Cricetulus griseus: one gene and its partners. The protein of the gene in region 2 interacts with the protein of the main gene of each other region in a pairwise test. Links are inferred from orthologs where the notes say so. Each region holds a gene or a part of one and is shown on either strand. Other genes may lie near its edges.

Evidence for each region.
Region 1: the proteins of Foxr1 (region 2) and Banp interact in binary tests that used the Homo sapiens proteins (3 or more experiments, as listed by UniProt). The two-hybrid records come from large-scale screens. The link is inferred for Cricetulus griseus from reciprocal best matches to the Homo sapiens genes FOXR1 and BANP.
Region 3: the proteins of Foxr1 (region 2) and Ppcdc interact in binary tests that used the Homo sapiens proteins (3 or more experiments, as listed by UniProt). The two-hybrid records come from large-scale screens. The link is inferred for Cricetulus griseus from reciprocal best matches to the Homo sapiens genes FOXR1 and PPCDC.

The regions. Positions count from the first base shown.
Region 1 is NC_048596.1:198,593,677-198,599,076, reverse strand, and holds the start of Banp (protein BANP), read right to left. Parts: upstream 3,351-5,400; 5' UTR 3,307-3,350; coding exon 3,025-3,306; intron 3,020-3,024; exon of another isoform or gene 3,002-3,019; intron 1-3,001. UniProt on the Homo sapiens protein: Controls V(D)J recombination during T-cell development by repressing T-cell receptor (TCR) beta enhancer function. Binds to scaffold/matrix attachment region beta (S/MARbeta), an ATC-rich DNA sequence located upstream of the TCR beta enhancer.
Region 2 is NC_048597.1:156,123,601-156,128,851, forward strand, and holds the start of Foxr1 (forkhead box protein R1), read right to left. Parts: upstream 3,209-5,251; 5' UTR 3,140-3,208; coding exon 3,079-3,139; intron 1-3,078. UniProt on the Homo sapiens protein: Transcription factor which acts as both an activator and a repressor.
Region 3 is NC_048597.1:169,064,273-169,069,579, reverse strand, and holds the start of Ppcdc (phosphopantothenoylcysteine decarboxylase), read left to right. Parts: upstream 1-1,662; 5' UTR 1,663-1,758; intron 1,759-1,764; exon of another isoform or gene 1,765-2,279; intron 2,280-2,760; exon of another isoform or gene 2,761-2,904; intron 2,905-4,115; exon of another isoform or gene 4,116-4,178; intron 4,179-5,307. UniProt on the Homo sapiens protein: Catalyzes the decarboxylation of the cysteine moiety of 4-phosphopantothenoylcysteine to form 4'-phosphopantotheine and this reaction forms part of the biosynthesis of coenzyme A.

The DNA of each region.
Region 1 (5,400 bases), on a different chromosome or scaffold from region 2:
GCCCTCAATGCATCCAACTGTCGTCTTCTTTCCAGGTGACCCTTTGTTATATGTGATTTTATAGTGGGCTTTGCATCATGGAATTCAACTGTACACCTTAGGTTTCTATAGCATAGCTGATTCTGACGATACAGGCTAAGCTACATGGAGTAGCATTAGTAAAACCTGCTGTTGCAAACTCATCTAGAAATCTGTGCCCGGAGCCTCCATTTCTCTCAGGCACCTACTAACCACTTCACCCTGAGTGTCCGTGTGTACACACATGCCCTGAGCATATGCAGATTCTGAGTCCCTCGCCTGGAGAGAAGCACTGGTCAGAATTCTAGCAAACATTCCTCCCCCAATATGCATCTAACATTTTCTCATAAATACACTGATTGCATTTCTAGCAGAGAACTGAGATGCCATTGGTTTTATCTCTTGGGGTAGTTTGACATCAGTGTCTCTATTGAGGCCACATTAGCCTTAATCATTTGCTTTGGATGTACAGCATCTGCTGGGCTTTTTCCAGAGATAGCACTTTTTTCCTGTCAAGACTGATGGATACTTTGGGATGCTGGAAATATCAGACTGAGGGAGATATGACAACTAAATAGGGTATGGGTTCCTGAATTAGATCCTGAAACAAACAGAAAGATGTCAGTGGAATACTAGAACTTGTATAAAGTCTGTAATCTAGGTAACCTTGCTGTTTTAGACCCATTCTGTAGATAGTTCCTTGTGTAAGATGTCAACACCAGAAGAAATGAAGGGGAGGAGAAAGCTCACTAATAGTTTCTCTGAAATTCTTAATTGCAGTCTGAATCTGCAGGTGGGCCTAATTGCCCATCAGCACATGGGTGCCTGTGGACTCTGCTACAAGACTCTGGCGGATGTAGCCTATTTCATTAAGCACAACTTGCAAGTGGGCCAGCCCAATGCATCACCTTGTTATCCCTGTGCTGTGGGTAAGGCAAACACTGCACTGTGCACTTCTGGGTCAGTGAATAGCTTAGCTGCTCGCACTGAAACACACACACAAAAAAAGAAAAAAAAAAAAAAATGAAGTGGCTAACCTGAGTGGCCACTACAGAATAAGTCAAATGAGGTGTCTAAGCTCAGTGTCTGACCAGTCTCCTGTATCCTGGTGCCCTGCCAATACAGCAGAGCCAGAAGAACCATCTATTCAACTGAAGGCAACCAGAGACCATGCTTTGGCACACATCCATCTCGAAGACCAAAAGAAAGGAGACAAATGTCTGAAGACAATAGGTTTTGGAATTCTTGTTCAAGGTGAGTGCCCTTACAAATAATCTCTACTTACTGCATTAAAATATTTTAATATAAAGAATACAATAAAGCTGGGTGGTGGTGGCGCACGCCTTTAATCCCAGCACCTGGGAGGCAGAGGCAGGTGGATCTCAATGAGTTTGAGGACAGCTTGGTCTACAGAGTTCCAGAGAAACCCTGTCTCAAAAAAACAAAAACAAACAAAAAAAGTATAGTAAACTTAGGAAAAGACTTCATCAATTTCTGACTAAGAGGGTCTAAGCTAGATAAAAGAAACAGCGGGCATGTGGCACACAGGAGTGGGGCTCTAGGCCTCACCAGGGCCTCAGAAGTCTCTACAGCCACCTCAGAGACAAATAGAACATCTTCCAAGCAGCCGGGAGGTAGTGGTGCACACCTTTAATCCCAGCACTGGGGAGGCAGAGGCAGGCAGATCTCTGCGAGTTCGAGGCCAGCCAGCTCTCCAGAGCAAGTGCCAGGATAGGCTCCAAAGCTACACAGAGAAACCTTGTCTCAAAAAAACCATAAAAAAAAAAAAAAAGTATCTTCCAAGCAAACGGAGACCCTAAAGAGAGACAACAGCACAGATAAAAGGTGTCTGCAACAAGTCTTCTGGGTCTTAAGGTAACAAGCTCACCAAGTCATTAGAGGGGAAACCATTTTAAAAACCCTCTCCACAGATCCAGGGACTTCTGCCAGTTTCCTCTTGCCTTAGGGCCTAAGGCTTAGGTAATAACAATATAAATATTGGAGGAAGACCTACCATGCAAAGCAAGCTAACATTCACCACACCACCACCCAAAAGAGTGGTGTTAAACAAGAAATCAGATAAAAGAAAACTGAAAAGAACCTCTAATACAGTTTCCTTAGCCTGAAGAAGAAAAATGTATTCATGAGACAGACTACTGGACAAAAGGAAAATGACAAATACACTTACAAACTACAATTTGTACTATGGATTCCTCCCCCCCATAGGACCTATGTCGCCCAGGTGGGCCTCAAAGTCACAAAGAATCACTTGCCTCTATCTCCTAAGTGCTGGAATTAAAACCCTGCAACACTGTACCCAGCAAAAAATAAATAAATAAAAGGGTGGAGGCAGAAAGATAAACTGACGCTCTCTCCTGGAATGAGAATAAAAGGGATTAGAAAGATGAAGAGATTCAAGGGTTCTACCCAAAATGTGTGTTACACATGACAGGAATCCCTAAACGAATAAAATCGGGGGGGGGGGGTAAGTTCTCTAATGACTCAAGAGAATTTCCCAGGCTCAAGGACACAAGCCTCAGCCTACCTGTGAACTGTAAAAGATACTCTAATACCAAGACCACCTTAAAATCGTCCGAGGAGGAAAGAGTTACCAGAACGGAAGTACTTGGCAGAGCCTCCTGTGGACTGAAGAAAGCTAAGACTGAAACACCGTGTCCTGAACTAACCAGGCGTGCAGGGAGGACATCGGGACCTACCTGAGCGGGCCTTAAGAGTCACTGACCCAGATTAGAAAAACACAAAGCGGAGGTGGAGGAAGACCGAAGATTTAACACTATCCTCGAGAAGTTACAATGTCACCAGGAGCAGAAAAACAAAGGTCACTATAAACAACAGGAAAAAGGCAAGGCTGTGCGGGACAGGGACGAGACGCTAGGTGGGGAAGAGAGCTCCACTATCAGCCCCGATGTCAACAGAGCGGAGAGCAGAGGCGGATGCACCAGCGAGGGCGAAGCCACCCTACCGGGGCAGAGAGCCAAGAACTACCGAGAGATGGGGCCACCTGAGGCGGCAGGGCGGTGCGCAGGGCCCGGGAGCACCGCGCAAGGCTCTGCTTCGACAGACTGGGGTGGCTGAGCGCGGGAGCCCGCGTCCGCGCGCCGAGGACGTGACAGGGCCGCCGGGCGCGGGTCTGGGCGGCGCCGAGGCTCCGGAGCCGAACGTGAGCTCGGCCGCCGGGCCTCGCCCGCTCGTTCCCCGCCGCCCCGCACTCCCAGCCCGGAGCCCACAGCCCGGGCGGGTGGAGGCGCGGAGGCGCCGCACGGACATTCCTCGGCCCGCTGGCCCCCGCCCAGCCAGGCGTGCGGCCCGTGGCCGTTGGCGACCGTTGGCGGCGGGGCGGGGCGGGGGCGGACGGAGATCTCGCTCTCGCTCTCGCTCTCGCCCCGCGGGAAGGGGGAGTGGAGGCGCGACCGGCTGCGGGAGCTGCAATTACCGTGTGGGCTGCGGAATTCTCGTGGTGTTTGTCGGGGAGATGCGATAATGGCGTCCGTCCTCGCGAGAGAAGCAGCCGCTCTGCGCAGGCGCTGCGAGCACCTCCCCGCGCCCTGCGCCCCGCCCTCAGCGCAGGCTCCCTGGGCTCGGGGCTCGAGGGAGGAGCCAAGCCGACAGGGGGTGGAGCCTGCTCTGGGCGCCTCTGGCGCGCGCTTTTGCCGACGGACTCCGGCGAACATGCGCAGTTGTCCTCCCGTGCCCCGAAAGTTGACTCCCGAGGCCCTTACTTCCCACCTCACGTCCGTGCTTTTTGCTAAAGTGGTAAATCCTCTCGAGGGCAATCTGAGAAATGTACGTCCTTTCTGAAGGGGAGTGAATAGAGGCTAACGCTGCCCGGATGACTACAAATCCCAGGGTATGTTGTGTGTGGCGCGATGCATTCTGGGACTGGTAGTCTCCACGGTTGTGATTTGCCTGCTGGGATTTGTAGTTCATCCGGATTCTGGCAGCTGCGTCCCTTCCCTGCCCTGGGGGCTGCTGGGACTTGTAGTGACAGCAGCTCAGACAAACTGTGCGCTTCCAAATCGGTCCTACCTACTCCGCGCCGTGGATCGGTCTGGGAAGTTCCGGGCTTGTTTAGTGACGTCGTTGCAAGCATGTGGCGCGGACACTGTCGCGGTGACAGAAATTATATATGACTTGCTTATGTATCCTGGAATAGGAGCTCCTGCGGCATCGATAGGCGCTTGTTCCCAGAAATGCCACTAGTGGCTGTCTCTGCACTTCGTCTCATTCACGTTCTTCTCGGGGCTTGTTCCTTCCGGACTTGTTCCTTCCCCTTGTTCACAGTGAGCAATCCTCCAAACCAGGATCCGGGAGCTATTTTCACCTAGAAAGAAAATACTTTTCCTTAACTTTCCTGCCCCCTCCTCTATGCCGATAGTAAAGTCAGGACACGGTGCAGCCACCAGCTGGGTGACCTTAGGCGACCCTACTGAGTTAACAGCCCATCTAAACCACTGCCCTCTCTGTCTAGGGGCTGGTCCTGGGCTACTTTTGCCTCACAAGTGTCTTGAAGACTTCAACCTGGAATTGTGCTGTTAAAATGAGACCTATCATTTACAGAGACGAGGATGAAGTCCAAAGAGGCTGAGAAATTGCTGAAGGTGGCAGCTGGAGCCAGGAGGGCAGGCTTTGGGCGTCTGTGTGAAGTCTTACAATTTAAAGTTGCCTCGCAACCATGTAGAAAGCAAGTTGGCAGCCTAGACTGCATAGCAAGTTCCAGGACAGTCATTTCTTGCAGCAGCGGCGGGGTGGGTGTTGAGGGTGGGGGTGGGATGTGTTGAAAAGTCAGTTTCTCTCCTGGGAGCAGGAGCCATCACCGCGGCAGCGCCTCTGTGTGGTGAGTCTCTTTCTTGTATAACTTCTGGTTTCCTCGGGGCCCCTGGGACTGCATGACAAAGCCTACTTGATGGAGGCCACCCTAGCACACAGGGCAGATATGTCACATGGACAATGGACCACCCCCACAGTCATGTGTAACCCCTCCTGGAACTACCTGTTTGCTCAAACTACCTCATGAAATTTGTTTGCACTTGGTCTTAGCGAAAAGGTCAAGGAGCAACCAACCGTGGGTGGTGGCACATGCCTTTAATCCCAGCACCCAGGAGACAGAGGAAGTCGGATCTCTGTGACTCTGGAGCCAGCCTGGTCTACAAAGCTACACAGAAAAACAGTCTCGAAAAATTAAAAAAAAAAAAAATTAAAGTCAAGGAACCACAGGAGGGCTGCATGGATCATACCCAGAACTTCAATAAAGTCCTTAGCCTACACGGTCCTTTCCTTTTCTCCCACCCAATTGTCTGGCCTCCAGACACTCGGTTCACCCCAAGGACCTATACAAAAGTCTGTTTTCACGTTATGTCCTAA
Region 2 (5,251 bases):
AGGCAGTGGTGATGTACGCCTGTAATCCTAGCACTCTGGAGGAAGAGACAGATGAATCTCTATGAGTTCAAGGCCGCCTGATCTACAGAGCAAGTTCCAGGATAGGATCCAAAGCTAGAGAAACCCTGATTCAAAAAACAACTACAAGCCGGGCGTTGGTGGCGCGCGCCTTTAATCCCAGCACTTGGGAGGCAGAGGCAGGCGGATCTCTGTGAGTTCGAGGCCAGCCTGGTCTCCAGATCGAGTGCCAGGATAGGCTCCAAAGCTACACAGAGAAACTCTGTCTCAGAAAAAAAACAAAAAACAAAAACAAAAAAAACCCTACAAAACCAAAAATAAACAAAGTAAATAAATAAAAATTTAAAAAATCAACACACACCAACCGGGCGGTGGTGGCACACCCCTTTAGTCCCAGCACTTGGAAGGCAGAGGCAGGCAGTTTTCTGTGAGTTCGAGACTAGCCTGGTGTAAGGAGCTTGTAACCAGGCAGGCAAAGGCCTGGCTGGAGGGAGATTAAAAGAAAGGGAGTCACTACCGGCCATTGTAGATAAGATCGAGAATGTGTGGTGTGTGGCAAAGTGTGATTAGCAAGATTCAGCAAACTATTTAAGGACCAGCTCAGAACTGGGAACTTTTGAGTGTACCACACGACTCTATGTCCTGGAGCTCTCCTCCGCTAACCTGAAACAACCAGTCCATCAAGCTGAGTGCCGCCCTTTCTGAAACCCGACACTGGGCCCTCGAGACTCCACAGCCTTAATTCAGAAGAACAGAAGTCAAGAGCCGGAACCTTTGAGCCTCTGCAGGAGAGGTACCCCTGCTGTGAGTATATTGTCTGTGGTTCTTAGGATTGTTTGCATATGCTTCTGTATTACTTTGACATATGTGTGAAGTAAAGCTTACATACTCAAAACCAACTCGCTGAGTCTGTCATTCCTCCCAGGTCAAAACTTGGTAAGGGCTTGAGACACCTGGCCTACAAGAGCTAGTTCCAGGACAGCCTCCAAAGCCACAGAGAAACCCTGTCTCAAAAACCAAAACAAAAAAAGCCCCCCAAAACAAAAAACACAAACACACAAAAAGGGAAGAAGCTTTGTAAATGGAAAATGTAATTTAGTGATTTTCAAAAAAAAAAAAAAACAAAAAAACAAAAAACAGTAGGGCAGTGGTGGCGCACGCCTTTAGTCCCAGCATTTGGGAGATCTCTGTGAATTTGAGACCAGCCTGGTCTACAAGAGCTAGTTCCAGGACAGCCTCCAAAGCCACAGAGAAACCCTGTCTCAAAAAAAAAAAAAAAAAAAAAAAAAAAAAAAAAAACAAAAACCAAAACCATTTGTGTACTGTGTGTGAGTGGATCAAGACCACTTTCTTACCTGAGTTCCAAAAATTAAACTCCGGTTAACCCCCACCCATTCTTTTGAGACAGGGTTCTATTTTGCAGCCGAGATGGTCTGGAATTTAAGATTTTCTTACCTCGGCATCCACAGGTGTGCTACCACAGCCAACTTTTTTCTTTCCTTTCCCTTTCCCTCCCTCCCCCCCCCTCCCTTTTCTTTTCTTGCCCCAGCTGTCCTGTAATTTACTATATAGACCAGACTGGCATTAAACTCTCAGAGATCTGCCTGCCTTGGCCTCCCAAATGCTGGGATTAAAGGTGTGCAGGACCATGCCTAGCTCTTTAAACTTTTGATTTGCATGTGTTAATTGTAAAAGACAATGGGAAGCTGTGACTAATGGTTTACACCTTTAATCCCAGCTAGGAAGGCTGAGAGGATCTTAAATTGGAGACTAGCGTAGGTTAATATAGCAGGACCCTCTCTCAAACCAACAAATTTATTATATTCTCTCATTCTCTCTCTCTCTCTGATTTACCCCATTACCCTGTGTTGACCACCTCTATTCCTCCATTTTTTTTTTTTTTTTTTTTTTTTGGAAGGGGTAGTGCTGATCTCTAGGCCAAGCAGCCCTGGAACTTCTGGAGGAGCCAAGGATAACCTTGAGCTCAGGAACCTCCCACCTCTATCTCCCAATCTCAATTCTTGAAACGTTTTATCACCAGAGTTCCTGTACACCACAGCACCACTGTTTTGGCTCTTGGTTATCTTCTGAGGGGTGGTTATCTCTTCTTCCTCAGTCTCTCCACTGGAATGCCTCAAGGGCTCAGCCTTGGTCCAATTATTCTTACTCCTTAAATTCCAACCATATACCAAAATCTCAAAATTTGTGTCACTAATCCACCCCTCTCCTCAGGGCCTGACTTTCCTACTTGTATAAGTAAAACCGAATCAGGGACCCCAGCCCGATCTAGAGTTCCGGACTCAGACAAGGCTACATACACGGTGACACCCTGTCTCTAAACAAAAGGCAAAATCTTCCCAGAAACGCACAAGACACCTTCAGGCTGGCCTGGGCTCAACCACACCTGTGTCAGCTTAGACCTATATGAAATTAACATACGGAGGTGGAGCTGATGGATGTGACCAAAGGGGAAAAAGGAGTGTGAACCCAAACATCTAGCCAGCGAGGCAAAAAAAAAAAAAAAAAAAAAAAAAGCACTTTGAATGCAAGAGTAATCACCTCAAACAATTGAACTTAAGTTCCAAGGAGGAGGAAAAATTTAGGGAGAACATACTGCCCCCCTCCCTTCCGCAATATTAAATCCATTTGGACAACACCAGTAGGGGTGGGCTAACAGCCTGGGGTGGTGGCCCACTCCTAGAGCGGCAGGAGGTAGGTCAACAATTAAGACTTGAGGCTAGCAAGGGCTTCCAAACAAAAACATAAACAGCAACAACGAAGCAAATAGAGGCAACTGATATTTCCCTAAAGAAAACTGATTGTTTTACACCGAAATATAAAGCCTTCCGTATGCCAAGTTCTGATGCTCCAAGCACCAAAGCTCAGAAGAGGCCTAGAAATGTTCTGGGTGTGTAAGAGGGTTCTGGGGACTCAGTTGCAGGAAGGGCTACTCCCACTCCTGCGTGGGGCGAGACTCGGAGCCCAGGGAGGTGGTGAGCCTGGGAAGCCACCACACTCCATGCCGCCACCCACGAGCCCCTCCCCCACAGCCCCACTCACGTTTCTGCGTGGACAGGGGCAGATACGACGTGGTGAACGACAAGAAACACTCGTTGCCCATGTCCCAGTCCAGCAAGCCCGGGACCTGGCCATGGAGGCTGGCCCAGAAGTCCGGGTCCTGGAGTTTGGGGTCCACTTTAAAGGATAGAGGACGCCAGGCCGCAGGGTGCGAGAGGCGGAGACTCGCCTGCCTGTCTGCATGGAAGGTGCTTCCTCAAACACCCCCGGCAATTGAGTGGGTGGGAGCGGTCAGGTGTGGAGCGCCCCTCCAGTCTCTCCCATTGCCTGCCTCAGGATCCACCCTGCGCTCGCCCGCCCGCTCGCCCGCTCGCAATCACTAGGCTTTCCTCCACCTGTGGATGCCGCTCGCCCGCTCGCCCGCTCGCAATCACTAGGCTTTCCTCCACCTGTGGATGTGGCGCAGCTGGTAGAGCGCTTCTTTCCGGAGTTCGAAGCCCCTTACTGCCTAAAACCGGATTTCGTACTACACACCTATAATCACACTGGGTGGAAGCACAAATTCAAATTAGTACACAAGAGTAGTCTAGTTACCAGAGACCCTGGCTCAGGGGGGTGGTATTGGAGGGTGGGAAGAGTTAAAATGCGGGGGCGTGGTGGAGCAGGCCAAAGGTGCTAGACCAGCAGAACTTAAAAAAAAAAAAAGAAAGAAAGAAAGAAAAAAGAAAAAAAGAAGGGTGTAGTAACTTCAGGCCTTTAATCCCAGCACTCAGGAGACAGAAGCAGGCGGATCTCTGTGAGCATGAGGCAAATTCCAGGACTACTAGGGCTACACAGGGAAACCTTGTCTTGAAAAAGCCAAAAAAGCAAAAGTTTATATTTCATAAAAGTTTTATGCCGTTTATCTAAGATTACAACCTTAGTAGGTGGTAGAGCTGAGATTAGCAATTTGGTTTTTTAAAGTTTGTTTTTAATTTCAAATTTACAAAAATATACTATATGCTGTAGAAATTTCTTTCTTTTTCTTTTTTCTTTTTTTGGTTTTTGGGTTTTTTTGTTTTGTTTTTTTGAGACAGGGTTTCTGTGTGGCTTTGGAGGCTGTCCTGGAACTAGCTCTTGTTGACCAGGCTGGTCTTGAACTCACAGAGATTTGCCTGCCTCTGCCTCCCGAGTGCTGGGACTAAAGGTGTGAGCCACCACCGCCTGGCTTGTAGAAATTTCTTTACATCCTTATTAACTTTTTATTCATTTAACCATTTATTTGTCTTAGTACTGGGAACTAATGGGCCTTTCTTGTGCTAGGCAAGTGCTCTACCATGCAACTCTAACCCTCGGCCCCTATGTGTAAATGCATGCATGCACATACAGTGTTTTGAAAATCCCATCCTACTCTTGTAGAGGCTGGACTTTGAATTCTGTCCTGAGACTAGCTGGAGAATCCTGACCCTCTTTCATCTACCTCCCAAGTGCCAGGATTACAGGCATGCATCACCATATTCAGCTCCTCCTTATATATATTTTTACATTTTATTTATTTTATGTGTGTGTGTGTGTGTATGCATGTTAGTATTTGTGGTGCAAGTGTGGAGGTCAGGGAACAACCCGGGGGAGTTGGTTCTTTCCTACTGTTTGGATCCCAGGGGTGGAACTCAGATTGTCAAGTTTGGTGGCTAGTACCTCTACACTGGGCCATTTTACTAGTCCTCATTATGTAGTTTTCTTTCTTTTTCTTTTTATTTGTTTGAGACATGGTCTCACTATGTAGCTCTGACTGTCCAGAATTTACAACGTAAGCCAGGCTGGCCTCAAATTCAAAAAGATCTACCTGCCTCTGCTTCCCAAATGCTGGGATTAAAGGTGTGCTGTTACTATGTCCAGCTCCTCATACTGCATTTTTTTATTGTTGATGAACTGATTGATGCTGAGTATAGAACCCAGGGCCTTAGGTAACTGCTCTGCCACTGGGTTTGTATCTCCAGCCCTTCAAGATATGTAATTTCTAATGAATTTTTTTAGGAGTAGTGTCTCAACAGCATATCCTTTCATCCAGAAACACTTTAGTTGGTGTCTCCTAAAAACAGAGATATTAGCCTATGTAGACAAAATGCAAGAGTAGTAATTTTTTGTTGTTGTTGTTGTTTTTGTTTTTGAGACAGGGTCTCGCTGTGTAGCTTTTGGAGCCTATCCTGGCACTCGCTCTGGAGACCAGGCTGGC
Region 3 (5,307 bases), about 13 Mb from region 2:
GGTGGACATTGCCTGGTTGAGGATCTGGTTGTGTGAGGCCTGAGGTAGGTAGGCCATGCCAAGGAGCAGCTGCCTGTTTCTCACCTCCTTCCAACAGAAACTCACCTGGACTAGGTAGACTGGAGAGCCAGACCCCACTTAGCCATTCCAGGCTGCTTTATCTTGGGACCTAAGACCTGGTTTCAGGTCTCCTTGAGCTTTGATTTTCAGCTTCTTCCTTGTAAGAGAAGCCAAGAGTCTCTGAAAAGTTCCCTTCCTAATGACCCCTTAGGCTTAGTTGATTCTCTCCCCTACTGTTTTCCCTCTGGAGAGCAGTTGTCACATGCCCTGGTACCCTACAGAGACCCAGGGCTACGCCCTCCCTCTTCTTCCCTTCTCCTGACCCCAGACTTCTTTTTCCCTTCTCTTGGTCCTCTGGAAGTTCCGCGAGGGCTGTGATCCAGCTGCCAGCCTAGCATCCACGATCTGTTGGATGTTACCTCCAATTTCCTGTCCTACTGCCCTTTCCTCTTTCCTGGCTCAGACCTATTGGCCATGCCTGGCGCTGCCCTTGGGAAAGCCTGTTACCAGTGTCTGGCCCAGCTGCTCAGGCCCTGGAATGCTGCATCTCCAGGCAACTATGCACTTTCATGAGGAGGGAACCAGGATGAGAAAGGGGGCTGGGCACAGATGGTTTAATTTGGGGGTGGGAGGAGGGCCCAGTTGGTTCTGGGGATCCTCCTGTCTGTTGCCAGCCAGTGACCTGCTTTTGCATTCTCCTGGTGCCCACTGCCCCTTGTTTCTGAGAGACACACATTATTCCCTAGCTGGCAGTTGACCTGCCTGAGCCAATGTGTCTATCTGTGGTAACTGGATGAACCATAATAAAAGGGATCATTTGACCCTGTCTATTCTGTGTTGCTTGTCTTCATGTGGGTCTTAATGAAGTCTTGATATGGGATGTGAGGCAGGGGTGTAGGGCTGGGTTGAGTGGATCTGTGGCCTGGAATTCTGTGATCATTTCCCTAAAGCAGCCTTGAGTAGGCCATGAAGTACATGCCACAACTACCAGTTAAGAAGAAGAAATAAAGTGCTCTGCTGGCAATGGTAGGACTGGAACACAGGCCCTTCCTCAGCTCCCCTGGGGGATCACCTGAAGCTAATTCAGCAGCCTCCATGCACACAAGTTCTTGAGACCTGTGGTTGCTCCAGCGTGATGAAAACTATTCCAATATGCCGAGTCTTTGCCAAGTGTACTCACTAGGAATGCTGTCTAGATCCTCTGTGCTGGTCACTCCTCAAGATACCTTTCAAGTAACCGTGGGTGCCGTAGCGCGCTCCTTTAATCCCATTATGGCAGAGGCAGGTAGATGTCTGAGTTCCAGACCAGCCAGGGTTAAAAAGAAAAAAATTTTTTTTCCAAGTGACCCCTTCAATGACAAGGCTTTCCTGCTTAGGATTGTGGCTTAGGTCCTGCAGCTTCCTCATTCTTAGCCTCTAATTTTCTGTACTCCTGTTTGTCTCAAGAGCCGAACTGCCTTTTAGAACAGGCGCAGTAAATAGAATTAAGTGCCAGAGTTCTGAACAGGTGCGCGGGGTAATTGGCAAATCACACAACTATGTAGGTCCTGGAGCGAGCTCCGGTGACTACAACTCCCAGAAGGCAGAGTAGACTACGGCTCCCAGAAGGCCATGCGTTCACGTAGCTCTCTCGCGTGCCCTTTAGACTCGGAGGGTAAGGGCGCCTAGATACCGCGATACTTGGGGCGGCTGGCGCGGGTGAGCGGTGGAAGGGGCTGGGAAGTGTTGTCCCGGGGATCGGCGTGGTGTGGCGGTGGGAGAAGCTCCTCAGGCTGTGGGTCCGAGCGAGGGTGGATGTGCGATTATGTGTGTGATGTGGGGCCACCGGCGTGCTCTCGCGCTCAGGGTTGGGGGACAGCAGCCGCACCTGCGCCCGCTGACCTGCGCTATCCTTGAAAGAGGCGCAGCCAGGACACCCACACTCGACGCTTACCTTTGAAAACTGCAGCGTAGGCTGCGTCCTAAGAGATCCAGGAGCGTCCCGATGTGAAAACGGTCTTAAAGTTACATTTATTTTGGATGGGGTGCTGTCACGGCATGCGTGTGGAGATCATACAACTTGTGAGATTCAGTTCCACCGTGTGAGGCTGCAAGCCACCTTACTGAGCCAACTTGCCTCAAGCTATTTTAAATGAATAAACTAGAGAAAGAAAAACCCTGGGAGTGTTTAGTTGCTTAATCCCTAAACGTGCGGAGCGGCATTTAAAAAGTAGAGTGAGGTCAGTTTTTTTTTTTTTTTTTTTTGTCTGAAAAAATTTCCTGATCAAATATTGGAAGCCAGAACTAGCTAATGGGCAGGAGAGAGCCTCGGGAAGTGGTGGGTGCTTGGGAACTGGGGGTTTTGCTCCGAGATGTGTCCTCAGGAGGTACCCAAATGAACTGTAGGAGCTTTGTGCCCAGCGTTTTGAATGAGAACGAGCGTTCCTTGCTTTTCCTAACACCTTAAAAGGGGTTTAGGTGCCGGGCGGTATGGGTTTTGGTGTAGGGTGGTTACATTTTTCTGGCTACATCCTTGCCCATTTTGTTACTGGCAGATATCCATGAAACTGAAACTTCAGTTTGACCTTGATTAAACAGAAGATTGATAAGGCACACGCTGAGGCCCTTTTCTCGGTGTGTGTGTGTGTGTGTGTGTGTGTGTTCTCACTGTCTTAAATTCTCTTTCTCTTTTACTTTTTTTTCCCTTTCCCTTCATGACAGGGTCTCTCAGTGTATCCCCGGCTAGCCCAGAACTCACTGTGTAGACCACACTAATCTTGAATTCATGGAAAACTGCCTACTTGTTCACCTGTGCTGGGATTAAAGGCATGTGCCATCACACCCCACTTTTTCTTACACATAAGAGTAAGTTTAAGTTCTGTGGTTATAATACAAGTCAAATAAGAATAGGAAAAACGCGTTTTCTGCACATGCTGCTTTAAGACTGGTCTAGCAATAAGCTGTAGACCTCACATTGGGAATATAGGCGTCTTCCTGTACCTGCACTTCAGTCTGTGAGGAGTGGAAAGAAAAATTAACCCTGAGTTCAAGGATAGCCACGAGAAACTCAAGTTTGACTCCGGAGGTTTAAAGGGAACACTGAATCATATGATAAAACAAGCTTGTCTTTTGAGTCTTTTTCCCGGGAGGTCAGTAGTGGTGGGAGAGAATTAGATATTACAATGTTCAGCTCCTGGACATGCCTGGACAAGCATGATGTAGAGGTCAGGGAACACAGACATGTACTGACTTGTCTGTTCAAACCAGTGAGCTCCATGTATAGGGAGGAGAGCTAGCTGTCCTGACTGCTGGAGAACCTGTGCTGCAGAGCATCAGGAGGTGCAGCATCCACCAGCTAGGAAGAAACACAATTGTGAGCCATTTTAAAGTGTAGAAAACAGCTTCTCTCTTATTGCTGTGGTTTGGAGGTTAGGTTTATTATGAAAGCAAAGGGTCCTCCCATCTTTCTGAAGGATGGAGAAAGTGCAGTGTCCTGGCTGTGGTTCTCCTACATGGCTCGGTGCCCCTGTCCCCCGAGCTCAGGAGGAATCATGACTTTTCAGTCACGGCCTGCTGCCTGCTTGTCCACTCTCCTGGACTGCTCACAGTTCCTGTTAGTGGCAGGGGTAGGGAATCGAGGTGCTGCCTATAGTCACCCTGACTGTCAATAAATGAAAATTCCAAAAATCTTTAATAGGATCTGGGTGGAGGAAGAGACTGAATTGGCTTGGAATTTGATCTTGGAGAGCAAACTCTGACCAGCTCTCACTTCCCCTGGGACTCTCAGGTTGAACATATTTGACCTCGATTCCAAATATTGGTTAAATAATCTAGTTTCTATTCTTCAACTATAAATCAGTCTCCCTCTTTCCCCAACCTTCCCCCCCCCCCAGAAGAATGGCTTTGGTCCTGAGCAAAACTTGGTTACAGATCAAGCATCGTATCTTGGGTTGGAATAAGCAGCGCAGAGTCCTGCCTCCAGTTTGATTGACAGCTTTCTGTAACATGACCCGTGGGAATTTTATCTTCTTGAGGTTCAGGGACTGCAGGGATGAAGCTGTGCTTCTGTTTTGCAGGACTCTCCCTGTTTTGCACCATTTGACTGAAGTAGGACAGGGTCAAGGTTTGAGGACTGACAGGTAAGTTTTGCTGGAGAATCAAGAATATGTTTCTCAGGGAACTGGAGAGATGGTTCAGTGGTTAAGAGCATGTGCTGCTCTTGTAGGGGAGCCGAGTTCCATTCCTATTACCTGTGCACACCCGTGCCGGGCAGCTCACAACTGCCCCAAGCTCCAACTCAAAGGTGATGGGATGCCTTTGGCCTCAGAGCATCTGCACTCAAGTGCACATGGTCACCTGCAGGCACATAATTAAAAATAAAATAATTAAACAACAAAAACCAAAACGCATCTCTCACCTACTAGTGATGTCATTTGGGAAAGTGGCTAGTAGGTCCCATGGACTTTGTCAGTTGTCAACAGTGCTCCCCAGACTTTCTGGTGGACTCATTTCTGTAACAAGGACAAGCCTGGTCCTGGTTGAGGCTCCAAATTACAGAAAAGATTTAAAGTGTTGGCAGCAGGGGCTGGGGCTGGGGGTGGAGGTAGAGAAAAGTCTCCGTGATTAAGAGAGCACATACTTCTCTTGCAGAGGACCTGGGTTCCATTCCCTAGACCCACATGGCAGCTCATAACCATCTGTAACTCCAGTTCCAGGGGATCTGACACCCTTTTCTGGCCTCTGTGCGCACTGTACACAACTGATGCATAGACAAGCAGTCAAAACACCTATACGCATAAACAGTCAATATATAAGTAAAGTAAATCTTTAAAGAGCGCTGGCAAGTTGAACTTTAGGGGAACCAGTCTGTGCTTAATCCCTTTGAGATGGGGTAGCCATCGTCCCCTCAGCTCTTACGAATCTATGTCTAAATGTTACAGGCAAATGCCAGAGGCTCCTGTGGGTACCCAGGCATGGAGGGAGCTGGAGTTACTGGGTTCTCCTTCCATAGTGGTCTTGATCTTTTGGAGTACATCTAGAATTTCTGTCTTGTAGAAAGGGCCACTTAGCTTTGTCTTCTGCATTGACTCAGGTTGTACTGGAGGAAATTTCAGAAATCAGCAGTTCTATCCCTATGTTTTCACATGAACAAGGAGTTTTGGGGAGGGAATGACTCTGACCCAAGGTCACACACCAGGTCAGGAGTACTACCTTGGACAGAACCCAGAACTCCTGTCTCACAGGACAGGTTTCTGAATGTAATATATT